3 linked regions of the Caenorhabditis elegans genome follow. The protein of the gene in region 1 purifies or fractionates together with the protein of each later gene. This does not show direct contact. Each region holds a gene or a part of one and is shown in the gene's direction. Other genes may lie near its edges.

Region 1 (6,796 bases):
TGGCTAACGTACCTTTTGTGCTCGTCGAGGAGTAGCAGAGAGTATCGATCACACTAATGAAATTAGTGGAGAAATTCAGAAATAAATTAAAATCATGCAAAAGAGTTTAAATCAATATAATACGTCTTGATGCCATTATGATAACCTTTGGTCACGTAAATACTTTCCCGGTACTTGTGTATTATATATAACCCCACATTTTGAAATTCAGTTATAAAAATATCATTTTCTAGTCCTAATAGTAAGTATCCAAATAAATGTCACGTTTGAAAGCTATGAAATTAGGTTTTACAAAAGTTGAGCTATTTAAAAAAATCATTTCCATTTCGACCATTTCGACGACAAAACCATTTCGGAATCGAGAATTGTTAGGGAAATTTGCAAGCAATATTTTCTAGAAACAAGTGAAATTCGAGAAAATAATAAAAAGATATCCTGAAGTAGATATTATCGAAAAAATACGATCGCACAAATTTCTCAAAATTTATTTTTGATCTACCTGTTGAACTTGACTCCGCCCCCAATCTTGTTGCCGTTGCTATTTTGTTGCGGCTGTCTTGCCGGAGGAAGAGAAGGAGCCTATTCAACAAGGTAAATCAAAAATAAATTATGAGAAAATTGTGCGATCGTATTTTTTCAATAATAATTCATGTGTTGCTATTGGAGAGTATGTACAGTGTTGGCCAAAAGTATATGCGGTTTTGATTTTTTGGTGATTTTTATTAGTTTTCAAATAAGTATAACTCACAATCTAGGAACTATAGAAAGAAACGCCCAAATAACAAAATTTTTTCTAACATTTCACGTGGTTTCAGGCTGTTCCATCGGGAATTGATCTACAAAAAATGGGGGAATTTTTTCCCCAAACGTCAACACGTTCTTAACCATGCGAAATCAGTTGAGAACTCTGCGTCTCAACTCCCACATATTTTGTAGATCTACGTAGATCAAACCGACATGGGACACTCTGACACCACGTGGCATTTGTTCTGCATGATAACACATGGTTCAAAATTTTAATACATTGAAATCAATAGATACAGCAGCCGACACCTTGTGAGTTCACTTTTGGCATTTTCTCGTGAAACTTATGTATCTCAAGAATGAGGATATTTCATGAAAGTTTTACTACTGTAGCATAGGAATTTGTTTTTGAATATTGACAGCAATGTTCCATTTTCCTTCGTTATTTCGCATTATAGTCTCATTTTTTCCTTTAATATTTTATCGATAAATAAATAATTCTTCCTTGTTAGACCCCGATCCCGTAAATCGACACATGCACTACAGTAGTAATTTTTAAAAAATTATTGTAGTTTTCGCTGCGAGATATTTTCGCAATAGAACTGTAAGTTCCCGTAATTTGTAACTGCTTAAATAAAAATTATTGTAGAAAGATTAGTTTTTTTCAGAATTAAAGAAAACTACATTTGTCTTTTCACATATTTATCCAATTTCCTTCAAATTGAGAGTAATTTTTTTTTCAAATAACATTTTCGTGTGCATTAAAATTCTTCTTCTTCATAAACTGATCTTAAAGTTTTTCACAAGAAAACAAGCAAAAAGAGAGGAATTAAGTTAATAAATATTTAGAAAAGCAATAAAATAAATAACAGATCGTAAAAATTAAAATCCTTGATTAGTCGGAGTCATCTTCAGCAGTGAAGTCAAAAGGTTTGAAATCAGATTTCAGTTTATTGACCAGTTCGACTTCCTTCTCTTTCGCGAGTACACAAGCTTTCCAATCAACTTTGTCTTCACAATCCAGAATAGGTGTAGAAGCAAGAACTTCACGTCCGAAATGCAATGGGAATCCTTTCATACTTCTAGTGAAAAGCTTTGATCCATCAGGAAGCTCTGCGACAAAGTATGGACATCCTTCATTGACCATGTCGAGAAGCTGAAACGTTGTCTTTTATTCATTGTAAAATAATTAATCCGAACTTACACTTTCATCAGGACCCATTGTGACCAACTCGAAACCAGCACAAGCAGCAGCAGTTGTAAACGATGATTTCAATGCTTTCGAAGATGATTTATCGATCATAACCATTTGAACTTGCAAATGTTGTGTGCGGAAATTACGTTCAAACGTGACCAATGCTTTTCCTTGCTGAAATATACAGATTTTGAGGCTAAAAAAACGAATTTCTGTTTTAAATAATTACCTTATTCGCCATCAATGTGAACGCACTCTTGAACTTTTCAATCTCATCACGAACTTCAACTGGAGCAGAAACTTGTGATTGAATATGTCCAACAGATAGAACCATAACGTGATCTTCAGTGAGTGGTCCTTTCGGCATGGCTGCGTAGCATTTATTTCCAATGGCGACCACCAAATGCTTTTCGGCGTCTACATTCGATAAACAGAACCAACATGGTCCAACTGGTTGCTTGTTTCGTGGTCCATCGTTTCCTATAAAAACGTTTTTTTATGTTTGTTAACCTTTTCGAGTCAATACAATTAAAAACTCGAAAACTGTATTTTTGAAGAATGTGCATATTACGGAACACAAAATTGTGAGAATGCGTATTGTGCAACAGATTTGACGCGCAAAATAACTCATAGCGAAGACTACAGTAATTCTTTAACTGACTACTGTAGCGTTTCGGTCGATTTACGGGTTCGATAAGCGATCAGTTATTTTCCTTCGTTTCTTCGTATTATTTTCTCATTTTTTGCCTAATTTCAATATTGTATCGATAAATAGATTGTTTTAATTTATTTCAAAAATCGAGCCCGTTAAATGACTTACAGTAGTCATTTAAAGAATTACTGTAGTTTTCGCTACGAGATATTTGCGCGTCAAATATGTTGTGCAATACGCATTCTTACAAGTTTGTGTTCCCGTAATAGATGTCTGCATTTTTTTTTAAATATAATTATTTAAAAAATTTTTAAAACTTTTTGTTTCGGTACAATTGGCGATAAAAGCCTTTGAAATATTTTTTGGATTATTTTTTTCCAAAATTTCATTATATTCTTACAATGTATTTTAACTAGGCGAAGAATGTTTTATGATCTTCTATACTTCCTTTTTTCAGTTGTTTTCGTAACAAAAACAGGTACTTATCCTTTTCTATCCCTACGCACTAAATGTTTAACTTTTAATTCAAATGTGTTCATTTTAATACTACTTTCATTTTCAGGTTTAAAAAACAAAATTACTAGGCCGTAAAATACAGAAAAAGGTCGCATTTTAATCAAAGAACAACAAATTTTCATGTGGTGGAAAAGAGAGAGTACCCAAAAACACAACGATTACCAAGAGATAAGGTCAAACATGCATTGTAGTTAGAATGTGGCCAAGAGTATAAATACAACAATCATTTCGTCGACACAAAGAACCAAAATGTCTCTTCGTCGTTTCCCACATGCTGAAATCGTTTCCCCAGATGTTCTTGGAGAACATTTGAAATTTCGAAATGGTCGAGAAACTAATAATCGATTTTTGAAATCTGCCCTCACCGAGATTCAATCCAATTATTATCCAAATGAGCCAAAAAGGCACGGTCTTCCAACTGATACTATTCTTAATATTTATGATAAATGGGGAAATGGAAATTTCGGAATGATCTTAACTTCGAATGTTCTAGTGGACCCAGTAAGTTTTTTCAACAAAAAAATCCATTCATTTCAATACTGACCTTTTCAGACTAATTTGGAAGCTGCTGGAAATGCTATAATCTTCAAGGAAGGAGATTGTCATGAGCGTCGAGCTCTGTTCACTTACTGGGCTAAGCTAATGAAACAAGATGGTGCTCTTGCCGTAATTCAGCTATCTCATGCTGGAAGACAGACCCCAGAGTTCGTGAATCCTACTCCTTGGTCAGCTTCTGATGTTCAACTTGTATCGGCTACACGTATGACAACGTATGGAAAGCCGAAACCCTTGTCAATTGAGCAAATTAAAACAGAAGTGGTAGATCGATTCGTTTATGCTGCCAAATTTGCATATGAATGTGGATTCGATGGAATCGAAATACACGGAGCCAATGGATATTTGCTTTCTCAATTCACATCTCCAACAACTAACAAGAGAACTGACAAGTATGGAGGCTCGCTGGAAAACCGTCAGAGAATCGTTATCGAGGTTTATGATGCTATTCGAGCTGAAATTCCGGCATCAACTGGTTTTTTGGTGGGAATTAAAACAAACTCAGTGGAATTTCAATCAGAAGGACTTACTTTGGAAGATGCTAAAATTATGTGTCAAGTATATGAGGACAAAGGAGTTGACTTTGTGGAGCTAACTGGAGGAACATTTGAGAAGCTCAACTGGACCTGGGATCGAGAGTCGACTAAGAAGAGAGAGGCATTTTTTGCTGAATTTGCCGAACAGGTAATTATTTATTTATATACTAACAATATTTCAAAAAATCATGTAAGAAAAGGTTTTTGAAAACACGTAGTCAAAGTTTATACATTCGTACTTTCCAAATTTTAATCGAATTAGGATCCCTGCCAAGTCATCCATTTTCACAATCAATCAAATTAAATTGATTGTAACGGTTTCAGATTCGCCCAGTTTTCAATAAAACGGTGGTATATTTGACTGGAGGTTTCCGAACAGTTTCTGCTATGATCAACGCAATCTCCTGTAATGCAACTCAAGGAATTGGTCTCGGGCGCCCAATTACAGCGGAGCCAGATCTGCCAAAGAAGATTCTAGAAGGAAAAGCCATTTCAGCAGTTCAAGACTCATTCAATCCAAATGATATTGCAACAACAGTAATGGCAAGTGGCACACAAATGGATCAAATGGGGCGTACGAATATGGAAAAAGCAGGCGGAAAGTATGATCCAAAGTAGTTTTTGATACTTTGGAAAGTTAATCATTTTCAGTATAATGCATCTAATCACCGACTTCAGCGATGAGCACACCGTTCAAAGATTTTCTGAAGCATTGGGCTTACATGTGAAACAAGCAGCACTCGATATTAGTGAAGGAAAAATACCGAAAGCAATAATTGCATTCAACTAAATACTGTATTTGCACTTGGTATTACAGAAACGCAAAGTTCTGAGAATGCGTACTGGGTAACATATTTGACGCGCAAAATATCTCGTAGCGAAAACTAAAATAATTTAAAAAATAATTCGCTTTCGATTAGAAATTCATTTCGAAATTCGAGTATGTAAATCGACTACAGTAGTCAATAAAAGTATTACTGTAGTTTTCGTTACGAAATATTTTGCGCGTCAAATATGTTGCCCAATACGCATTCTCAGCATGTTGTGTTCCCGTAACATTTAACCTATTTTACATAATCTAGGTGTTTTAAACTTTTTATAAAACTTTCTCGTAATGCTATCTTTGCCTCTTAGAAAACTTATTCAGCGACGTGTATCATAACCAATTCTAATCGGCTTGTTAGAAAGAAGAAATATAATACTTCGGCGTCTCCACTTTGTGACTGGGCACAAAATGCAATTCAGATTCTACTTTCGAAATAGCCATAAAATCATAAGATCACAGATCTTTCTTCGTTTCTCAGGCAACCAGGTGCACAATTGTCATCACTCGACCAGTGAGACCACAATAGAACAGCAAACGTTGTCATCTTTTTGGTTAGACACTTTCTTTCTGCCTCTGCGTCTTTTCATAAGGTGTGCATACTCTTGTTTGCCCAACAACCTAGCCGATCAGAAAACGCACTATATTTGACCTGCGTGTACACTGCTATAAAAGTAACATTTTGTTCTTTCATTTCTTCGAAAAATGGCTGCCAGTCGCTTCTGTGATAATTTAACTGTCTCTTCTAAAATTCTTGGAGAGCAACTCAATTTCCGAAATGGGAAAACTGCTCAAAATCGGTTTTTGAAAGCTGCACTAACCGAACGAGTGTCCACTTATGATCCGGAAAATCCAAAGAAGCATGGTCTTCCTACAAACTTCATCTTGAACTTGTACGATAAATGGGGACACGGAAAGTTTGGTACTATTCTGACTGGAAATGTTCTTGTCGACCCGGTAAGTCACTGAAGAGTTTAGAAAAATAATACGTTCTATATAATTTTAGACTAATTTGGAATCTGCTGGAAATGCCATAATTTTCAAAGAAGGAGATGGAGAAGAACGTAGAGCTCTGTTCACTCAGTGGGCAAAAAACATGAAGCAGGACGGAGCTCTTGCCGTTGTTCAATTATCTCACGGAGGCCGTCAGACTCCAATTACAGTAGAACCGAATCCGTGGTCGGCTTCTGATGTGAAGTTGAGTGGTGAACGGCGTTTCACTGCATTCGGACAGCCTGTTCCATTGAGCACAGAGCAAATCAAGACTCAAATCATTGATAGATTCGTTTATGCTGCAAAGTTTGCCTACGAGACTGGATTTGATGGAGTTGAACTTCACGGAGCTCATGGTTATCTTTTGGCTCAATTCACGTCTCCAACTACCAATAAGAGAACTGATCAGTATGGTGGTTCAATTGAGAATCGTCAACGCATCATCCTTGAGATCTATGACGCTATTCGAGCTGAAATTCCCGAATCAACTGGATTTATGGTGGGAATTAAGACAAACTCGGTAGAGTTCCAAGAGCAGGGAACAACTGTTGACGATGCAAAAGTTATGTGCCAGGTTTATGAAGACAAAGGATTCGATTTCGTAGAACTTTCCGGTGGAACTTATGAGAAGCTCGCCTTCCATCATATGCGTGATTCGACTCGTAACCGTGAAGCTTTCTTTTTAGAATTCGCCGAAAAGGTATTTTTCCTGGTTAAAATCAGTATTTAAATGAGCTTCCATTTCAGATTCGTCCAGTTTTCAAGAAAACCGTTGTCTACTT
Region 2 (10,139 bases), on another chromosome or scaffold:
GTCAATTTCAAAAACTTCCTCTCCTCGCCTACCAGAAATATGAGAAGCTATCGTCTTTATGAACGTTCTTTCACTTTTCTTTGTGTATATGCAACTGGCATTTATCTTTCGGATGGCAAAAGATAATCGGAGATAACGATTGAAACCGAAAGTAGGTCGGCACCTGGAACGGAAGGTGATGATAATTTATGATTCACTAGGTTTTAGATGTTTCCCAGTCAGTTTTAGAAAAGGCTTAAGCTTGATCAGTACCAATTAATAACAATACTCTGTTCAGCACTTCGTTGTGAAGCAACTTCCGTGGTGACATGCATGTTGTGCACAGTTGTCAGTGAGTCTCTTGAAAGAGAGATGACACCTACTGCAACAGTTAATTCAATGTTCAAAAAGTGCGATAAAATGGGACTCATGGAGCCTGTTTGTGTGCAATTCGTGTCCGAGAATGTGAAGGAAATGTTTCAACGTGTTCGACAAGGTATTCCATCAACAAGTGTCTGTCAGGCGTTGCGATTCTGTGACCTACAGTAATCCTTTGAGTGGAGGAAATGCATTTTGTAATAAAGTCATTTGAAATGTTTATTTGATGTCGTGCATATCGTTTCTGTGGTTATATGAAGTGGAAACATACGTTTTCATTGTTGTCGGCCGTTTTTAAAAGTGAAAAAATATTTATTTACAATATTGCAGAGAATTCGAATTGCAGCAAATTGTCAATTATCCCTGAGATCCTCAATAACAAAAAATAAATAATAATTTTAACAAAAATAGTGAAATTCTTAGTTAATTAAGCCCACTTGACGAGGAAGTTTCTTTTTGCTTTTTTTTTTCGATCGTCAATCAGGTCCTCATCATCTCCTAACTTTGATTTTTTAATCTCAGTTGGTTCAACATCAACATCATCAGAAGTGACTGCCTCAGAAGTTCCAGATTTTGTGTCATCAGATTTTGATAGTTTTTCCAAATCTTCCAGCTCCAAATCTTCCAATGGATCCTTCTTGTTGATCTTTGCTTCTCCACTCTTTCCATTCTCCTCATCGCTGTCTTCATATGAATCCTCGTCTTCATCATCGTTATAACCCCCGCATCCGGTGCCACTTCCACCTCCACATCCTCCACTGTTTCCATAACCAGCATAGCTACCGTAACCCTGTGGATATCCGCCACCACACCCACCTCCTCCACAGCCGGAACCGATTCCTGGATGAGTACGGTAGATACTGTAGTGGTCGGTGTATGGCAGATGTGGATAACGGTAGGTTGCGAATGTGTACTGTGGTGGATATACATATGTCATTCCTGGACGAAGAAGATATCTTCTTGGAAGCCTATCCCATGGGTAATGCTGGAAGAAATACCCTCTTCTATAGGCGACAACTGGCCTCTTTGTGGTAGTTTGAACGGGATTCTGATTGCGTCCAATCGGATTTGGGTTCAAAAGTGGTGCACGAGTTGGAATATCGAATTTCGGTGCGATTGTTGAGTAGGTTACTTGTTTCAAATTATGGTTGGCACCAGCATTCTTGACCGGTTGAGATGAAAAATCAGAATAATCGTCACCAACATTATCCTGTCTTGCCTAAAAATTATCCATATTCGTAGGTACGAATTGTCCAAAGTAACTCACCTTTCTTTCAGCCAACGTGACCCCACAAATCGCCGCTAGAAAAATAATAGATCTCCTCATCTAGAAGTGTGTAAGATTGTTAAAATCGGTCAATCTCCATCGTCGTTAAATACTCCCAAAATCGGGTTGACTAGAAGTGTAACAAAACCTTCAAATAGCTGGACATCATCTGCCTCAAACAGATCTGGTTCTTGGCATATCGGGTAAAATTATATAAGTTTGTTGCGTAGTGATATACAACAAGGTGAGAAAGTGATGAAGACGACGGACGTCCATGGTTGCGCAATAAGTGAAATTAGAACTGGAAATTTTCGGAGATAAGGAATGTTTTTTTTTGTATATTGCGAATTAGGATATATCATGTTTTGCCTGGGTTAATCAGTAGTATCACTATGAAAATATATGATCTATTGTGTACCTTCTATTAAGAAGATGTTTAAATTTTTTGGTATTAAAATTTTGGTTAAAAAACAATTAAAAATTGGGAGAATTTCAGAAGATTTATGGAAACATATTTAGTTAAATATGGCTATTTTACTAAAATCTAGATTTCGGAACATTCTGCTTTGAGAAATTTAGATGAATTAATACAAATCGAGTCAAGTTCGTCCAGCGAAGAACCTATCTCAAGTCACTATTAAAGTCTGTCAGCCGGTATTTATAGCAAGGAGAAAGTGATGTTGAGTGTAATCCCACTTGTTGTAATCTGACCAATGTGTGTGTCCAACTTGATAAATTGGCCTTCATTGGATATGGAAAAGGAATAATTTTATGAACTAAGTATATTTTGCAAAATTCCATTCAAAAGTAGAAACCGTACTTGATTCGTTAAGAGCAAAACGGAGCATTTACGAATTTAATTCCAAGTAATATGGTGCAGTGTGACCTATTCCTGAAATCAGTCGAATATGAAATATTGCAAAAATTCCTTTTCAATATGTTTCATGTTGTAGCAGTTGTAGAATTTTTATATACCAAAAAATTTAAAGATAATTAAATTTATTATAAACTATTTTAATGTACCTTTAGCCTGTTATAGATTACTAATAATTGTAGAAAAAATCCAATTTCTGTTGTTGCTCCGAAAAAATCACTAATTGTATTTCTATAAATTGGTAAATTATTGTTCGAGAACTCGAAAAGTACATTTTTCTTCATTTTTTATAATATTGTATTATTTTATCGCCTTCTCCGAGTGATTGAAACCCCTATGAAAAGTTGGGAAAGTTGACGTGGCCGCGGTCGATGCCATTGCAAAACTAGGCCATGATAATGCAGGATTTTTAGAACGGTAGAAAATGGGCCTATTTTAAGTTGTTCCCTTTAAAATTTGAACTTTTTTATCGACAATTAAATCTCAATATCGATTTTTTTCCACAAACTTGTTTGCTTTCTAATCACTTATTGATTTTTTTCAAATAGAAACCAAGTAAATTTCATCATTTTGTGTTTTCTGATGTAATCTATTGCTTAAAAGAATTTTTTAAAGGTTTTAATTATTTTTAAATATCAGGGTAACAAATATCGACAATGTCGAAAATCAATAAGGAGCGGAAGAAGGTTGCTCAACTTCAAGAAATTGAAAAGAGCATTCAGGAGCTGTGGGAGAGCAAGAAGGCTTTCGAGGCGGATGCTAGGGATGAGTGAGTTTTTTCTGAAAATTTTGAATTATTTTCAATTTAAAAAATTTCAGTGGAAAACCAAAGTACCTCGTCACGTTTCCCTTCCCATACATGAATGGACGTCTTCATTTGGGACACACATTCTCAGCTTCAAAATGTGAATTTGCCGCCGGTTTCCAACGTCTTCAAGGCAAAGAAGTGCTCTTTCCATTCGGATTTCATTGTACTGGAATGCCAATTAAAGCATGTGCAGATAAATTGAAAAGAGAAATGCAAGATTTCGGATATCCACCAAATTTCCCGGAAGATGTTGTCGAGGAAGTTAAAGAAGAAGTTTCGGCTGTCGATGAGATTATCAAGGATAAGAGTAAAGGAAAGAAGAGTAAATTGGTGGCAAAAACTGGAAATGCAAAATACCAATGGCAAATTATGAAGTCTCTGGGATTGTGTGATGAGGAAATTAAGGAATTCTCGGATCCAAATCATTGGCTATATTATTTCCCACCACATTGCATTGCTGATCTTAAGAAAATGGGACTAAAGGTAAGATTTAAAGTGTTGAAATCATCTTAAAGTGTTGAAAGTGAGTTCTGTAAAAATAGTACTAAATTATTATGTTTTTCCAATATTTTTGATTAAAATTTAGTGATAGAATTTGGAAAAAAAACATTTGATTTATCTGAAAATAGTTTTTATTTTAGTGATTAAAAGTTGAAAATAACCTGTAAAAAAATTTCGATAATTGGTCGGTTTTTACCGGCGATTTTTTTGGCACTTTTCCAATTTTTCAACCTTAATCAAAGCTATTTTCAGATAAATGAAATATTTTTCTATATTATATCCCTGAATTGTATTTAATGAATATTGGAACAAAATGCCTTACTTCCTCATTTTTGCTTCTCCATTTTAATAATAATATAATTCTCAAAAAAATTTAACTTATCACAAAATTAAAAAAGAAACATTTCGAAATTATTAAATTAAAAATTGCCATTTTTCAGGCTGATTGGCGTCGTTCCTTCATCACCACCGACGTGAATCCATACTTCGACTCATTCGTCCGTTGGCAGTTCAACCTTCTTCGTGCAGCTAAGAAGATCGATTTCGGAAAGAGATATACAATTTATTCACCGAAAGACGGTCAACCATGCATGGATCACGATCGTGCCAGTGGAGAAGGTGTTGGTCCACAAGAATATACTCTTATTAAACTGAAAGTTCTTGATCCAAAACCTCAAGCTTTGAGCCATATCAAAGAGGATATTTATCTCGTTGCGGCTACTTTGAGACCTGAAACAATGTACGGACAAACGAATTGTTATCTCCATCCAGATATTCAATATTCCGTGTTTTATGCGACGGAAAACGAGAAACAAGTATTTGTGGCAACTGCCAGATCTGCTAGAATCATGTCATATCAAGGATTGACTAAGGAAAATGGTAAAGTCAACTATGTCCTGGGACTCGAGAAAATCGCTGGAAGCAAGATTCTCGGAGCTCCACTCTCTGCGCCTCTCGCAAAATACGAAAGAGTTTATGCATTGCCAATGTTGACTATCAAGGATGATAAGGGAACTGGTGTTGTTACAAGTGTACCATCAGACTCTCCAGATGATTTTGCAGCTTTGTCGGATCTCAAGAAGAAGAAGCCATTGAGAGAAAAATATGGATTGACTGATGAGATGGTTCTTCCATTCGAACCAGTTCCAATTATTAAAATCGAAGGACTTGGGGATTTGGCTGCAGTTGAAATGTGCTCAAGGCTGAAAATTGAGTCTCAAAATGAGAAGGACAAACTGGAAGAGGCGAAGAAAGAAGTTTATTTGAAAGGATTCTACGATGGAGTTATGCTCGTCGGAAAGTATGCTGGAAAGAAGACAGCCGACGTCAAGAAAGTTATTCAAGATGATTTGACAGCTGAAGGTCTTGCCACGAAATATGTGGAGCCTGAGAAGAAGGTGATGAGCAGATCTGGAGATGAGTGCGTCGTTGCGTTGTGTGATCAATGGTATTTGAATTATGGAGAGGCTGAATGGAAGGCTGCTGCAAAGAAGGTTCTTGAGCCACTCAGAACTTTCAATGATGAGGTATATTTTTTTAAATTATTTTTGAAAAAATATTATGTAGACGTCTAAAAATAAGAATCTTCGCCATCTCTTACGCGCAGAGGTCTTGCCACGCAGACAACGAGTTACTGTAACTTGCCGATCAAAGGGTTTTTTATTGCAGCATATTCTCTAAATAAAACCACAATTTTATCTAAAAATCGAAAAAATTTGTTCAAAGAATATCATAGTTTACAAATTACTCCAACTCTACGGACGATTTTTTTAAAACCCTTTTTGTTGAAATTGGAGTTTAATTTAAAGAATATGACGCAATAACGGCCCATTAGACAACAGAAGTTACAGTAATTCGTTGCCTGCGTCCTCTGCGCGTAAGATATGTCGAAAATTCTCATTTTTAGATGTCTATGTAGTATATTCTTATTCCGCTGAATTAAAATTTTCAGACCCGCCGTGGATTGGAAACCACAGTCGATTGGCTCCACGAGTATGCTTGCTCCAGAAGTTACGGTCTTGGAACCAAACTTCCATGGGATACTCAATACCTCATCGAATCTCTGTCAGACTCTACAATCTACAATGCTTATTATACAGTTGCTCATCTTCTCCAACAGGGAGCTTTTGATGGATCAGTCGTCGGACCTGCTGGAATTAAAGCTGATCAGATGACAGATGCTTCGTGGAGTTATGTATTCCTCGGAGAAATTTACGATTCGAAAACCATGCCGGTTGAGGAGGAAAAGCTTAAATCATTGAGGAAAGAATTCATGTATTGGTATCCAATTGATATGAGAGCATCTGGAAAAGATCTTATCGGAAATCATTTGACATATCTTCTGTTCAATCATGCTGCAATCTGGCCAACAGACACTTCAAAATGGCCAAAAGGAATTCGGGCCAATGGACATTTGCTCTTGAACAATGAGAAAATGTCGAAATCCACTGGAAACTTTATGACATTGGAAGAAGCCATCGAAAAGTTCAGCGCAGATGGTATGAGATTGAGTCTTGCCGATGCTGGGGATGGTTTGGAAGATGCTAACTTTGTGTACGCAATGGCAGATGCAGCTATTCTGAGACTATTCACTATGATCGAATGGATCAAGGAAATGATTGAACAACGGGATGCCGGACTTCTCCGAAAAGATGCAAAGAAATTCGCTGATCGAGTTTTTGCAAATGAAATGAATTCACTGATCGCTGCCACAGAACAAAATTATGAAGCTACCAACTTCAAGGATGCACTGAAAACTGGATTCTTCGAATATCAAGCCATTAGAGATACATACAGAGAACTTTGCGCTGGAATTGATGAGCCAATGAGCGAATCGCTTGTCTTTAGATTCATTGAAACTCAGGTATATTTTCAGAAAGATTTTTTTCTCAAGATGACAGATACCGATTATTAGTGTAAAAATTGAAAGAATTGTTTCAAATTCTGCAACAAAAATTCTAGAAAAACGAGAAAAAAAACAAATCAGTATTGCCGTATATTAAAAAAGTTTAGGAAATTTCTATAAATTTCTTAAAATCTATTTTCGTTCGATTAAGACTGATTTCTGTCATTTGGGGCAAAAAAAAAACGCCAGACGACACCTTTAAAAGTTTAATTTGTTTTTTATTTTAGATGCTCATCCTATCACCAATCTGCCCACATATTGCTGAATACATCTGGCAATTGCTCGGAAAAGACGGCTTGATTGTAAATGCTCCATGGCCAACTGTCGATCCTGTCGATGAGAAGCTCGCCATTGGTGCTCGTTTCATCACGGAATCGCTGGCCGAATTCCGTGCCCGACTGAAAACCTACATGACTCCAAAGAAGAAGGCACTGAAGGAGATTCCAGAAGTTCCAACTGAAGCAGTGATCTATGTTGCTAAAGAATATCCACCATGGCAGAAGACTATTCTTGATATTCTTGAGAAACAAGCCAAGGCTAATAATGGAGCACTTCCAGATAATAAAGCAATCAGTCAGCTCATTGGAAAAGAAGAATCACTCAAGAAATTCGCCAAAAAAGCGATGCCATTCGTTCAAATGATCAAGGAAAGATTCGAACAGAAGGGTGTTTCAGCATTGGCTTCTTCTAGTCCAGTTGATCAAACTTCAATTCTCAACGAGAATATTGATTTTATTATGAACGCTTTGGATTTGGATCGTGTTACTATTCGACATACTGATGAGGAGGGAATTGATGCGAATATTGTTGAGACTACAGTACCGCTGGTGCCAATGTTGAATTTCACGCCGAATAGAGTAAGGAAACATATTATAGGGGCATGGGAACATGCTCCGCCTTCTAACCATGGGTCTCGTTAGGTATTTGGCGGCAAAACCGTAAATTCAAACATTTTAAATTCGTCTCTGCAGTTTTCAAGCACGCCAAATACCTTACGAGACCCAACTGTAGGAGGCGGGGCGTTGTCAATCGGCAGTGGAGCGCATTTCCATATCAATTTCAAGAGGGGAATTTTTCTGCGTACCAATAATAATGACATCATAATTATTTTCAGCCAACAATCAAACTTGTCGCCAGAAATGTTCAAATCTGCAATGCAATGTTCGATGTTGATGTACCAATTGTTAATGGAGACAGTGTTTCAATGGTTATTCGGAAGATGAGACGCATCAGCAAGGCAATCAAACGTATGAGAAAACCCTATTCCGAAAACAATAAATTCAATTTATTATATTTTCAGCGAAATTCGAAGTGAGCCTCTGGAGATACAAGAACGCGGTTTGGGGAGATCGACAGATGATTTCGTACAGAAATCCATTCGAGGAGAACATTCAATTGTCCGACGCAGACATTTTCAATTTCGAGGCTGATAACAAGATTTCTGTGACTTCTGGAAGTGAAAAGTTCGATCTTGGGCGTACTATTGTGTACAAGGCTAACGTCCCAGAAAACTAGATTCTTTCTAAAAAATTATTTGTTCTTCTTGTTTCTAATAATATTATATCCCCACTTTTTGAGTTTTGTTGTTTCTATTCATTTTCATAATTTATACGTACCCGAATCCCTATTTCAGCTTTCACTGTTTTCTCCCTGTTTCCAAGTTGAATGAAAAGGTTTTTTTGTTATTATACTAGATTTTTGAAAACTGTGATTTGTTATCTAAGTATTTCAAACCTAATATTTTAAATGTGATTTTCTATTTTTTATCGGAAGTTTCCGTATTTCCAGTAACAGATGCCGTCACCATGTGAAAGCGGTAAAACGACAAATTGCTCCGGAGCACCTTCCTCGTCTTGTGGTGAATATTTTGATTATTACTCATTCGGGAAAATATGGGATTTTTATCGCAAAATTATGGTATCGGGTCTCGACACGATCGAATTACTTCCAAATGAAAAGTGGGTAACACATTGTTTTCTCGAGATTTTAAAGTCTACTAATTATTATTCATGTGACATCAAAATCTGGAAGGAGTGAGGCTACAGTACCTCATTTGAAAATATTTCGATCGTGTACAAACAAAAACAAAAATAAATTACTATACTTTTGCGTTAAAAAACTAAATTTTTCGAAGAAAATATCTGGAATAAAATATAACGAACAAAAATCTTTTCAGCGAAATCAGTAGAATGCTGCAAGAAGCAACTATCCGTTGGAGTACTACAACAAGTATCAGCGAGTTCATCTGGTGCAATTGTTACATCACTTTTTAGTAAGCTTCATATCAGTTGCAGATTTTTTCAATTTTGGACAGAAAAGTACGGTACCGGGTCTCGAAAGGATTGGAACTTTGCAGCTACCGTACCCAGAAGTATTTCCCAATTATAATTTTTTCACAATTTGAAAAGCATTGAAAAAACACAACAAAAAAATTATTGGGGATACGGTATCTGCGAAATATCGGTCGTTTCGAGACACGCAACCGTATATACGCCTGAAAAATCGAAAACAGAAAAGTTTATCTTTGCAGTGACTCCCTTAGACGTCGTGAAAATTCGACTCCAACAACAAACTCGACCATTTCCAAAAGGAGAATGTTTTTACTATCACAATGGTCTTATGGAGCACGTTTGTGTATCGTGTGAAGTCAGAAAACCTTGTGAATGGTATCAACGACCCGGTAATTTTCGTGGAACTGCAGATGCAATTGTGAAAATTGCACGACATGAAGGAATACGGTCATTATGGAGTGGATTGTCCCCTACTATGGTTATGGCTCTACCGGCGACTGTTTTCTATTTTACAACTTATGATAATCTATCAGTTTGGTTGAAGAAAAAGTTAGAATTTTTTTGTTGTTGAAATTCCAAAAATAATAAAAATGGTTTTCAGAATGTGTTGCCGACGGGCATTTTCTCCGGAAAAATGGACGCCTCCTGATTGGTCAGCTGCAGCAGTGGCTGGAATTGTAGCAAGAACCATTGCGGTTACGGTAGTCAGTCCCATTGAGATGATTCGTACGAAAATGCAAAGCAAGAGGCTTACTTATCATGGTGGGTTGGACTAGGAGTAAGTATCAGGGCTGGGGGAACAAAAATTGAAATTTTCGAAAAATCAAAAAAAAAAAACAATTTTTCGAAGAACAAAAACACCAACAAAAAAAACTAAAATCAATTGAAATTTTCTAAAAATCTTTTGAAAAAATTGAAATTTTCGAAAAATCAAAAAAAAAAAACAATTTTTCGAAGAACAAAAAAACCAAGAAAAAAAAACTAAAATCAATTGAAATTTTCTAAAAATCTTTTGAAAAAATTGAAATTTTCGACAAACCAAAAAACCAACAAAAAAAACAAAATATAGAAATTTTCAAAAAACCAAAATAAAACACAAAAAAAGTTTAAATTGTAAATCAAAAAATCCGAAAATT
Region 3 (8,348 bases), 5.4 Mb from region 1:
TGCAAACATTTTTTAGTAAACATTTTTCTAAAAATTTTCTGAATTACCAGTAGTTTTATTGATTAGTTCAACATTTTTAAAAACAATTTGAACAGTTTTTCCATAAACTCATTCAGATTTAAGTACAGAAAACACCTTGAATACTTAAAATTTGGGTTTCAAAATGATATAAATGATTATTTGAAGCATCGTCAACATTCTGTCAAGGTTTCAGAAAAATTTGAAAAAAAAATGTTTTACTGAAAGTTTTCGTCAAACAATTTCTGATTTTTTTGATTTTTTTTCAGAAAAAAGTTGTTCCAGGTTAAAATCCTTAGCATCTGTTCCCTATCAATGCTACGATTGTTTTTTCTTCATTCCATGAACAGGTCCTTTGGACTTTTGAAGAGGTCCAAAGTACACCGCGTGGCCTCCGCGCCCCGTCGTACTTTGTCCCCCCGATACAGTTGTTGTGTTTTCGAATTTATAAATTACACGTGACTGTGTAACTTTACGAGTTTCTGATAAGCTTGATTGGACTGGGAAAAAGCTTCAAAGAACGATTGAAAATTGTAGGGAGCCTATTGAAAAAAAGTTTTGTTACGTTTTCATAAGCATTTACACACAAAACCTGCCGAAGATCATAAGAACAATTTAGCTGATTGTCTGGGTCTCTGTGTAGGTTTTTCTGTATAATGGTGTTTTCTGATAAAATACACATTGATTTACCGGTTTACAAAACAGCGCAAGGTTAAAAAAAATTTTACCTTTAAAATTTTTTGGCAAGGAAGGTGTAAAAATTATTTTAAAAGATTCGAGTAAAAATTGAAATTTCAATGTTTCAAAAAAGATTGTCGGGAAGTTTAAATTAAAATCTTTAATTTAAAAAAAAATTTCGATAGTTTTGGAATTTTCAATTTCCAAAAAAAAATCGAAAAATTATGGCGAGTCATAAAAAAAATTAAAATTTCCGGAAAAATCGTTAAATTTTAAATTCTAAAAGGTATAAATTTTACAACAAAAAAATCGATGAAAATTAATTTTTCTAACCATTTTGACAGCACTTTCACATTAAAAAAAAATTGGCGGGAATTTCAAGTTTTAGGTTGTTCCAAATTTTTTGGCGGTGAATTAATATTCTATTTTTCGATTAACTTAATTTCACAACAAAAAAAAATTGGAGAAAGTTATATCTTTAACTTTTCTACAAAATTCAGCGCTAAATTTAAAATTTTGATTTTTAAAAAATAAAGTTTCCGGAAATTAAAATATTCCTAACTAGCCTAAAGCCTAAAGCCTAAAGCCTAAAGCCTAAAACCTAAAGTTTAAGACAGGGCTAAAGTTTCATGTAAAAAATGGGTTGAAAATTAACATCTTTAATCTAGATTTCTTGTTGTAAAAAGTGTTCATTATATTTTCTGGCACCGCAAATTCCAAATAATTTTTGACCTTCCACTTCTCTTGTCAAACAACTTCAACCACATGTGTTCTGACTCCTTATCACCAAGATCATTGATTAGTGCACATATACATCTCACATCATAGATACTTTTCTTTTTTGGATCAAAGAAGCTTCAGCCCCGCCACTTCACAGATCATATGGTTACAACAAAGAGATAAAGAGATAAGTCAGGAGTCCGCAGAGAAACTAAGAACCAAACACGCGATATTCGGGTTGTCCACCGTCGGCTGTTTTTGTTGCAGTGGTGAATTGGGGATGTGTGTAAGAAAAAAATTATTTGGAAAAAGACCAACATCGTGGCGCGGTGAAGGTGCTTTGGTGTCTTCTTTTTGAATAGTGCAATTATTTGAAAAATAAGACCAAAGTATTGTTTTCAAACAGGTTATGCAATAGTTTATAGTTAAAAGAAAACCTGAATTTGACAGATATTTCAAAACTGGCGGGGATAGCCGGTCTTAGTGGCCGCTAGCAACGAGTTCAAGCCCTGACACCCTCTAGGATCACCCAGTCTTAAATGGAGCAATCTGAATTCTCCGTGGCTCGAACCTAAATCCCAGAGAGAGCTCCACCAGGAATGTTGTACAGAAATTCAGCGATGCATAAGACTTGAAGAACGGGTTTTATTTGACTTGAATTTAAAATAAAATATAGGTTTTCAGTTAAGTTTTGTAGCCTTTTTGGGAAATTCTGAACATATTTTAAAACTTTAAAACTCCCCGCTACTCCAAAAAAATATCCTATCAATGTTGTTTTCTTACGAAAAATAACTGATTCCAGTGGGATTTTGTTTGTTTGCCCTTTCATTATATGTAATTGTTTACTCAACTTTTTCCTGATTATTTAGTATTATTTAACATAAATAGTCTGGCAATATGAAGAAGTAAGCTTTACAAATTTGAAAAACCAAAATTTACCATTTTGTAAAATTTTTCAAGTCACGGTTACAGCCAAATAATTAAGTGAAAAATTACAAAAAAATTATTATGTACATTAAAACTGCAAATTGGGTGCAATTCTAGACTAATAAAAAATATATAAATGCCCTAAAAATTTCATATCTTAATTTTTTCTGGTTGATTTATTTTGACTTTCATTTTTTGTAATTTAAAATAGACTTACAATTTTGTAATTCTGATAGAAAAACCAAGTTTTTTCTAAAATATTAACAGTTAGCACCCAGCATTTCAAATTTCAAAAAAACTGCATTATTGACAAACATCTCCCATATACCTAAACATTTTCAAAAAGCGTACTTCATCAACGATCAACCATCATATCAAGCTGCCAAAAAGACACACAAAAAAAGCGTAAACAAAATAATTGACTGTTCTCTCTGCACCTCTGCGTCTCTTTCTATCTATTCATCAATTGTCTCTCTCTCCTAATGATATCACACACTGCCTCGACTCCGCCCCCTATAGTTTCGGACCCTTATCGCTCTGCGTCTCGTCGGGCAGAGTATAAAAGCCGGGTCCCGGGAGGTGTGCCGACTTTAGTTCCCTCACAAGAACTAAGCTTATTATACAAAGACACACACAATGAGTTCTGCGGCTAAAAATTTTTATCAGGTATGTTGGTTTATTTTTTTATAATTTGAAATTTAATATATGAAATTTTTAAAATTTAAATTATTTCAGGTAGTCAAATCGGCTCCAAAAGGCCGCTTCAAGGGCATCAAACGTGACTATACCGTCGAAGATGTGCTCAAACTCCGAGGCTCCATCGACATTGACTACACCCTTGCCACACGTGGAGCCAACAAACTCTGGCAACTATTGCACACTGAGCCATTTGTGCCGGCTCTCGGAGCCCAGACTGGAAACCAAGCAGTTCAGATGGTCAGAGCCGGATTGAAGGCTATCTACTTGTCCGGATGGCAGGTGGCTGCCGACGCAAACTCCGCTGGAGACATGTACCCCGATCAGTCTTTATATCCAGCAAACTCTGGCCCGGAATTGGCGAAGAGAATCAACAGATCTTTAAGAAGAGCAGACCAGATTGAAGCCTGTGAAGCCGAGGACTACCTCGCCCAACGTGATTGGTACGCGCCAATCGTTGCCGATGCAGAAGCCGGATTCGGTGGAGCCCTGAATTGCTTCGAGTTGATGAAGGTAGGCATGCAACACTAACAGTTGCTCTTCACTGACCACTGGACACTTTTGGGGGTGAGAGAGATAAGAGTGGCAGTTGGCATTGCCGGTGTGTAGCTTTGTTGTGTAAAAGTGTATAGTTTCAAATGATTTCAACGCGGGCGTCTAAAGGAAACGGGACGGGGAGTGTGTAGGGAACAAAGAATGTCCAGTGGTCCTGGTCCTTTGACCTATTCAGTTTTCCAAAATCGGTACATACGAAGTTCCATGTGTTCCTTTCTTCTCTTTTTATCACCCCCATTTCATCGCAGCGCTCACTTCTCGGTCAACAAACATCTTTCTTCTCTATTTTTCTCCACCCAACAATGATTAGAATGATTAGATAACGCTATCAAAAACAACAAAAATGATCGTTGGTTGTTTTAGGCCTATATCGAAGCCGGTGCGGCAGGAGTTCACTACGAAGATCAGCTTGGATCGGAGAAAAAATGTGGTCATATGGGAGGAAAAGTCTTGATCCCAACCGCCCAACACATTCGTCACTTGAATGCGTCTCGTTTGGCTGCTGATGTCTGCGGAGTTCCTACAATCATTGTCGCAAGAACCGACGCAGAGTCCTCTAGACTTTTGACATCTGACATTGATCCAAGAGATCATCCATACATTGACTACGAGGCTGGAAGAACGATTGAAGGATTCTACAGACTCAAGGATTCCACTGCAATTCAGTATTGTATCGATCGTGCCATCCAATATGCTCCATACACCGATCTCATCTGGATGGAGACCTCTCACCCAACGATCGCCGACGCCCGTGAATTCGCTGAAGGTGTCCACAAGCAGTACCCAGACAAGATGTTCGCCTACAACTGCTCTCCATCCTTCAACTGGAAGAAGCATCTGTCCCCATCGCAGATGGAGAAGTTCCAGAAGGAGTTGGGAGCTATGGGATTCAAATATCAGTTTATCACGCTTGCCGGATACCATGCCAACAGTTATAGCATGTTTGACTTGGCCAGAAACTACAAGGAGAAGGGTATGCTCGCCTATTCCGGGCTCCAGGAAGGAGAGTTTGCTGCTGAGAAGCATGGATATACGGCAGTAAAGCATCAGAGAGAAGTGGGAACCGGATACTTCGACGCTGTCAGTCGTGCGGTTACCGGAGGACTCTCTTCGACTACTGCCTTGTCAGGATCCACTGAAGAAGCTCAATTCCAGACTGCTGTTGCTTCGCAGGATGAGGAAATCCTTTCGGTACGTTTTATTCAGACCTGCATATTAAGGCAAGAATTAGAAGAAAAAATAACTAAACAAAATTTCAGCTCACCGCCCAAAACGTTGCTGGAGACGAGAAGATCCTCACACCAGATGCTCTTCGCTTCCTCCACGACCTCAACACCGAATTCAACCCTCGCCGTTTGAGACTTCTCTCCAAGCGCAACCAAGTTCAGGCTGATATCAACAACTCCCTCTGGTTCCCAGATTTCAACAAGGAGACCGAGGTGCTCCGTAGTGATCAAGGATGGAAGGGAGCCGAGATTCCAAGGGATTTGCAAGATCGTAGAGTTGAGATCACTGGACCAACCGATCGTAAGATGGTTATTAATGCTATGAACTCTGGAGCCAATGTATTTATGGCTGACTTCGAAGATTCCAACTCCCCAACATGGAGAAACCAGCTTGAAGGACAGATCAACTTATATGATGCTGTAAGAAATAACATCTCCTACACCCACCCAACTACTAAGAAGGAGTACACACTGAATGAGAAACACGCCGTTCTGAAGGTCCGTCCACGTGGATGGCACCTTCCAGAGAAGCATGTCCTCATCCACAACCAGCCAACTTCAGGATCTCTCTTTGATTTCGGACTCTTCGTTTTCCACAATGCCAAGGCCCTCATCGCCCAGGGCTCCGGTCCATATTTCTATCTTCCAAAGCTTCAAAGCGCCGAGGAGGCTCAACTCTGGGCTGACGTTTTCAAGTACACCGAGGACAAGCTAGGCCTCGCCCGTGGAACCATCAAGTGTACCGTGCTCATTGAGCATTTGCTCGCCAGCTTCCAACTCCACGAGATCATCCATGCCCTCAAGGACAACATTGTCGGACTCAACTGCGGACGTTGGGATTACATCTTCTCCTACATCAAGACGTTCCAGAACCATCGCAAGTTCCTTCTCCCAGACCGATTCCAAATTGGAATGACCGCTCCATTCATGAGAAACTACTCCTTGGAAGTCATCAAGGCCTGCCATCTCCGTGGTATCCATGCCATGGGAGGTATGGCTGCCCAGATTCCAATCAAGCACGACCAGGTCGCCAATGACAAGGCATTTGCCCTAGTCAGAGCTGACAAGGAACGAGAGGCCACTGACGGACACGATGGAACATGGGTTGCTCATCCAGGATTGGTGCCATTGGCTAAGAGAGTTTTCGATCAAATGATGCCAAAGCCAAACCAGATCAGCAAGAATCTCACCCGCGCCAATTGCACCAAGGAAGACCTCACTGTGATCCCAGAGGGAACCCGCACTGAAGCTGGATTCCGCCATAATATCTCTGTAACTCTTGGTGAGCCTTAAAAAATATTTTTGAACATTTTTGAAATTGGAATTAATTTCAGGATACCTCGACTCTTGGCTCAGAGGAACCGGATGCGTGCCACTCTACAACTTGATGGAGGACGCTGCCACCGCCGAAATCTCGCGTGCTCAGCTCTGGCAATGGCTCCATCATGATGCTAAGCTTGAGGACGGTCGCACTATTGACGCCGGACTTGTCAAGCAAACGATTGCCGCCGAGACCGAGCGTCGTCTCATCCGAGCCGGATCAGTTGTCAACCGAATCCCAGAGGCTGCCGACTTGCTCGAGAAGTTTGTCACCGAGGAGAAGATGAGCGACTTCTTGACCACCGACGCTTACGACAGGCTTGTCTCTGAAGGATATTAGGAAATTTTTTTAAATTTGAATTACTTATTTGTATACTTCTCTCCATGATTTTCGTTGCACCTACTGGTTTTCTTGTACATTCTGCCGTTAATTATAAATCTCTTCAGTAAAATTTTGTCATGTCCGTGTTGTGTTCAAAAAGTCCACGAATTCCAGACTTTCCCACGATTTGAGACTTTACCTCATATCCGTGTCACTTCATTTTTTCACACAAAAAAAGCACGTAGTGAATCACTTGAAAAAAAAATCTTGAATTTTCTCTGGTTCTCTGGTCTATGCGTAAGTCTCAAAAGTTTGAGATAAAAAGGTGACATCTATGAAGCGTGAAAATTGAAGCTGCAGAGTCATAAAGTACGAAGCGATGTTTTGTTACATAAGCTACATATGTTTTCTATCTAAAACTTATGTTTCATTATTCAACAATCAAATTGTTTCAACTGTTTGTGTTCGTGTTCCGCTGCAAACACATATAGCAAACTGTAAATTGCAATATAGATGCTCTACAGGTGGCCTGCTGCCTCCACACACCTATCGACTCAAATTAGTACATCTGCGCAACGACTCGCCATTCAAATAGTCGATAATCTTACGTCAGTTGTCCATTCCCTCTCATTTCTTATTTAGCACAAATGAATATTCTCCGACTACCCACAAAAGCACTTCGCTGCACACTTCAACACTGGCCGCTTCTAGAAATGTAAGTTATTTAACTAAAAACAAAACCAAATGTGAACAATTTCAGATTAACATTTTCGTTGTTTTCAAAAAAGACGAAAAATCTTTCTAAATCTCTGCATCGAAGCGCCTTATCGATTTCTGTGAATGTTGAAGAGTTGATTGAACTCAAAATTCAAATCGCTCGGCGTGATACAATCAACTTCATCTTTTACACAAGCAGATATAGAGCCAATCCCTACTATGACCCCAATGCGGGAGTTGTGTTAATTGATAATCCAGATGAATATATAGGAATCGTGGATACAACTAAAAACAGTCGGATTTGGATGCACTTTCCGAATATGGGAATACGAGATTTTGTTGATCACTTTTTCGATGTCTTGAGTCTTTCAAAACTTGATGAATTTTCCATATCTAAGGACAACTACTGCACTCAAGAGTTTTGTGATGAGTTCAAGGAACTCGACGTTCAAACTTTTGTGAGCCCCTTACAAATGGACAACTCTTCGTTCTACCAGAAGATCATAAGAATGTTTTCGAGTAGAAGTAAAAGGCTTGACTTCGGTCTTCCCACATTCCCATTTAAAACTCATACAGCTCAAGAGTTCATGTTTCAAAATTTCAATTTCTTCCAAATCTTGTACAAATGCAGTCTTGTAGAGGTTCTCTCCATAAACAGTACTCTAATATATGGTGAAGACCTTATTGGCGTGAATCAGTTGAACGTATTCTTGAGGCATTGGATCAACGGATCCAACCCAAGACTCGAGTACTTTCAATTTTATGTGTATTTACAGACAAGTTTGGAGGACTTGTTCTCGATAATCTTTAACAAGGTGAATTATCAAAGACAGCCAGATAGCCTTTTGAGGGCGTTTTGCCTATCAGTTCAAGGATATGATGATTTGATATACAACCTAAAAAAGATCAAAGGAGGAATGGATATCGAGAGAACAGATGGAGCAAGAGCAACTGTAAAGATCAACGGTGTAGGGCACAATCACTTTGTTCAATTCTTCAAATGGGATAACAACTAAAGTTTAACAACATTCATGTAATTCTGCATTTTTCGTGTACTTTATTTAATGCATTTTCTGAGATTTTTGTTTAATAAGCTACTTGTTTAATAAACTACTGCATTTACGCATTTTTTCTAATTGTTAATTACAATTCAAACAAAAGTAACAACT

What was found. Proteins that work in one complex are often made in the same cells at the same time.
Region 2: the proteins of F17A9.5 (region 1) and lars-1 fractionate together in Caenorhabditis elegans (co-fractionation; one large-scale study listed by BioGRID). This does not show direct contact.
Region 3: the proteins of F17A9.5 (region 1) and icl-1 fractionate together in Caenorhabditis elegans (co-fractionation; one large-scale study listed by BioGRID). This does not show direct contact.

What each region holds. Positions count from the first base shown.
Region 1 is NC_003283.11:6,109,493-6,116,288, reverse strand, and holds F17A9.5 (NADH:flavin oxidoreductase/NADH oxidase N-terminal domain-containing protein), read left to right. Parts: upstream 1-3,291; 5' UTR 3,292-3,356; coding exon 3,357-3,608; intron 3,609-3,659; coding exon 3,660-4,346; intron 4,347-4,522; coding exon 4,523-4,800; intron 4,801-4,849; coding exon 4,850-4,988; 3' UTR 4,989-5,318; downstream 5,319-6,796. Other genes in the region: F17A9.4 (NADH:flavin oxidoreductase/NADH oxidase N-terminal domain-containing protein), read left to right, coding at 5,727-5,978, 6,028-6,714, 6,762-6,796; cwf-19L1 (CWF19-like protein 1 homolog), read right to left, coding at 1,640-1,900, 1,949-2,113, 2,169-2,419.
Region 2 is NC_003281.10:4,179,800-4,189,938, reverse strand, and holds lars-1 (Leucine--tRNA ligase), read left to right. Parts: upstream 1-3,137; 5' UTR 3,138-3,154; coding exon 3,155-3,267; intron 3,268-3,317; coding exon 3,318-3,789; intron 3,790-4,247; coding exon 4,248-5,333; intron 5,334-5,758; coding exon 5,759-6,670; intron 6,671-6,939; coding exon 6,940-7,569; intron 7,570-7,826; coding exon 7,827-7,959; intron 7,960-8,012; coding exon 8,013-8,227; 3' UTR 8,228-8,390; downstream 8,391-10,139. Other genes in the region: ssp-28 (Saposin B-type domain-containing protein), read left to right, coding at 278-528; R74.2 (FIP (Fungus-Induced Protein) Related), read right to left, coding at 785-1,576, 1,625-1,684; putative mitochondrial carrier C16C10.1, read left to right, coding at 8,507-8,570, 8,889-8,984, 9,243-9,552, 9,605-9,765.
Region 3 is NC_003283.11:722,589-730,936, reverse strand, and holds icl-1 (Malate synthase), read left to right. Parts: upstream 1-2,932; 5' UTR 2,933-2,979; coding exon 2,980-3,009; intron 3,010-3,078; coding exon 3,079-3,552; intron 3,553-3,957; coding exon 3,958-4,785; intron 4,786-4,853; coding exon 4,854-6,102; coding exon of another isoform or gene 6,103-6,113; exon of another isoform or gene 6,114-6,154; coding exon 6,155-6,480; 3' UTR 6,481-6,599; downstream 6,600-8,348. Other genes in the region: fbxb-72 (F-box domain-containing protein), read left to right, coding at 7,110-7,177, 7,223-8,195.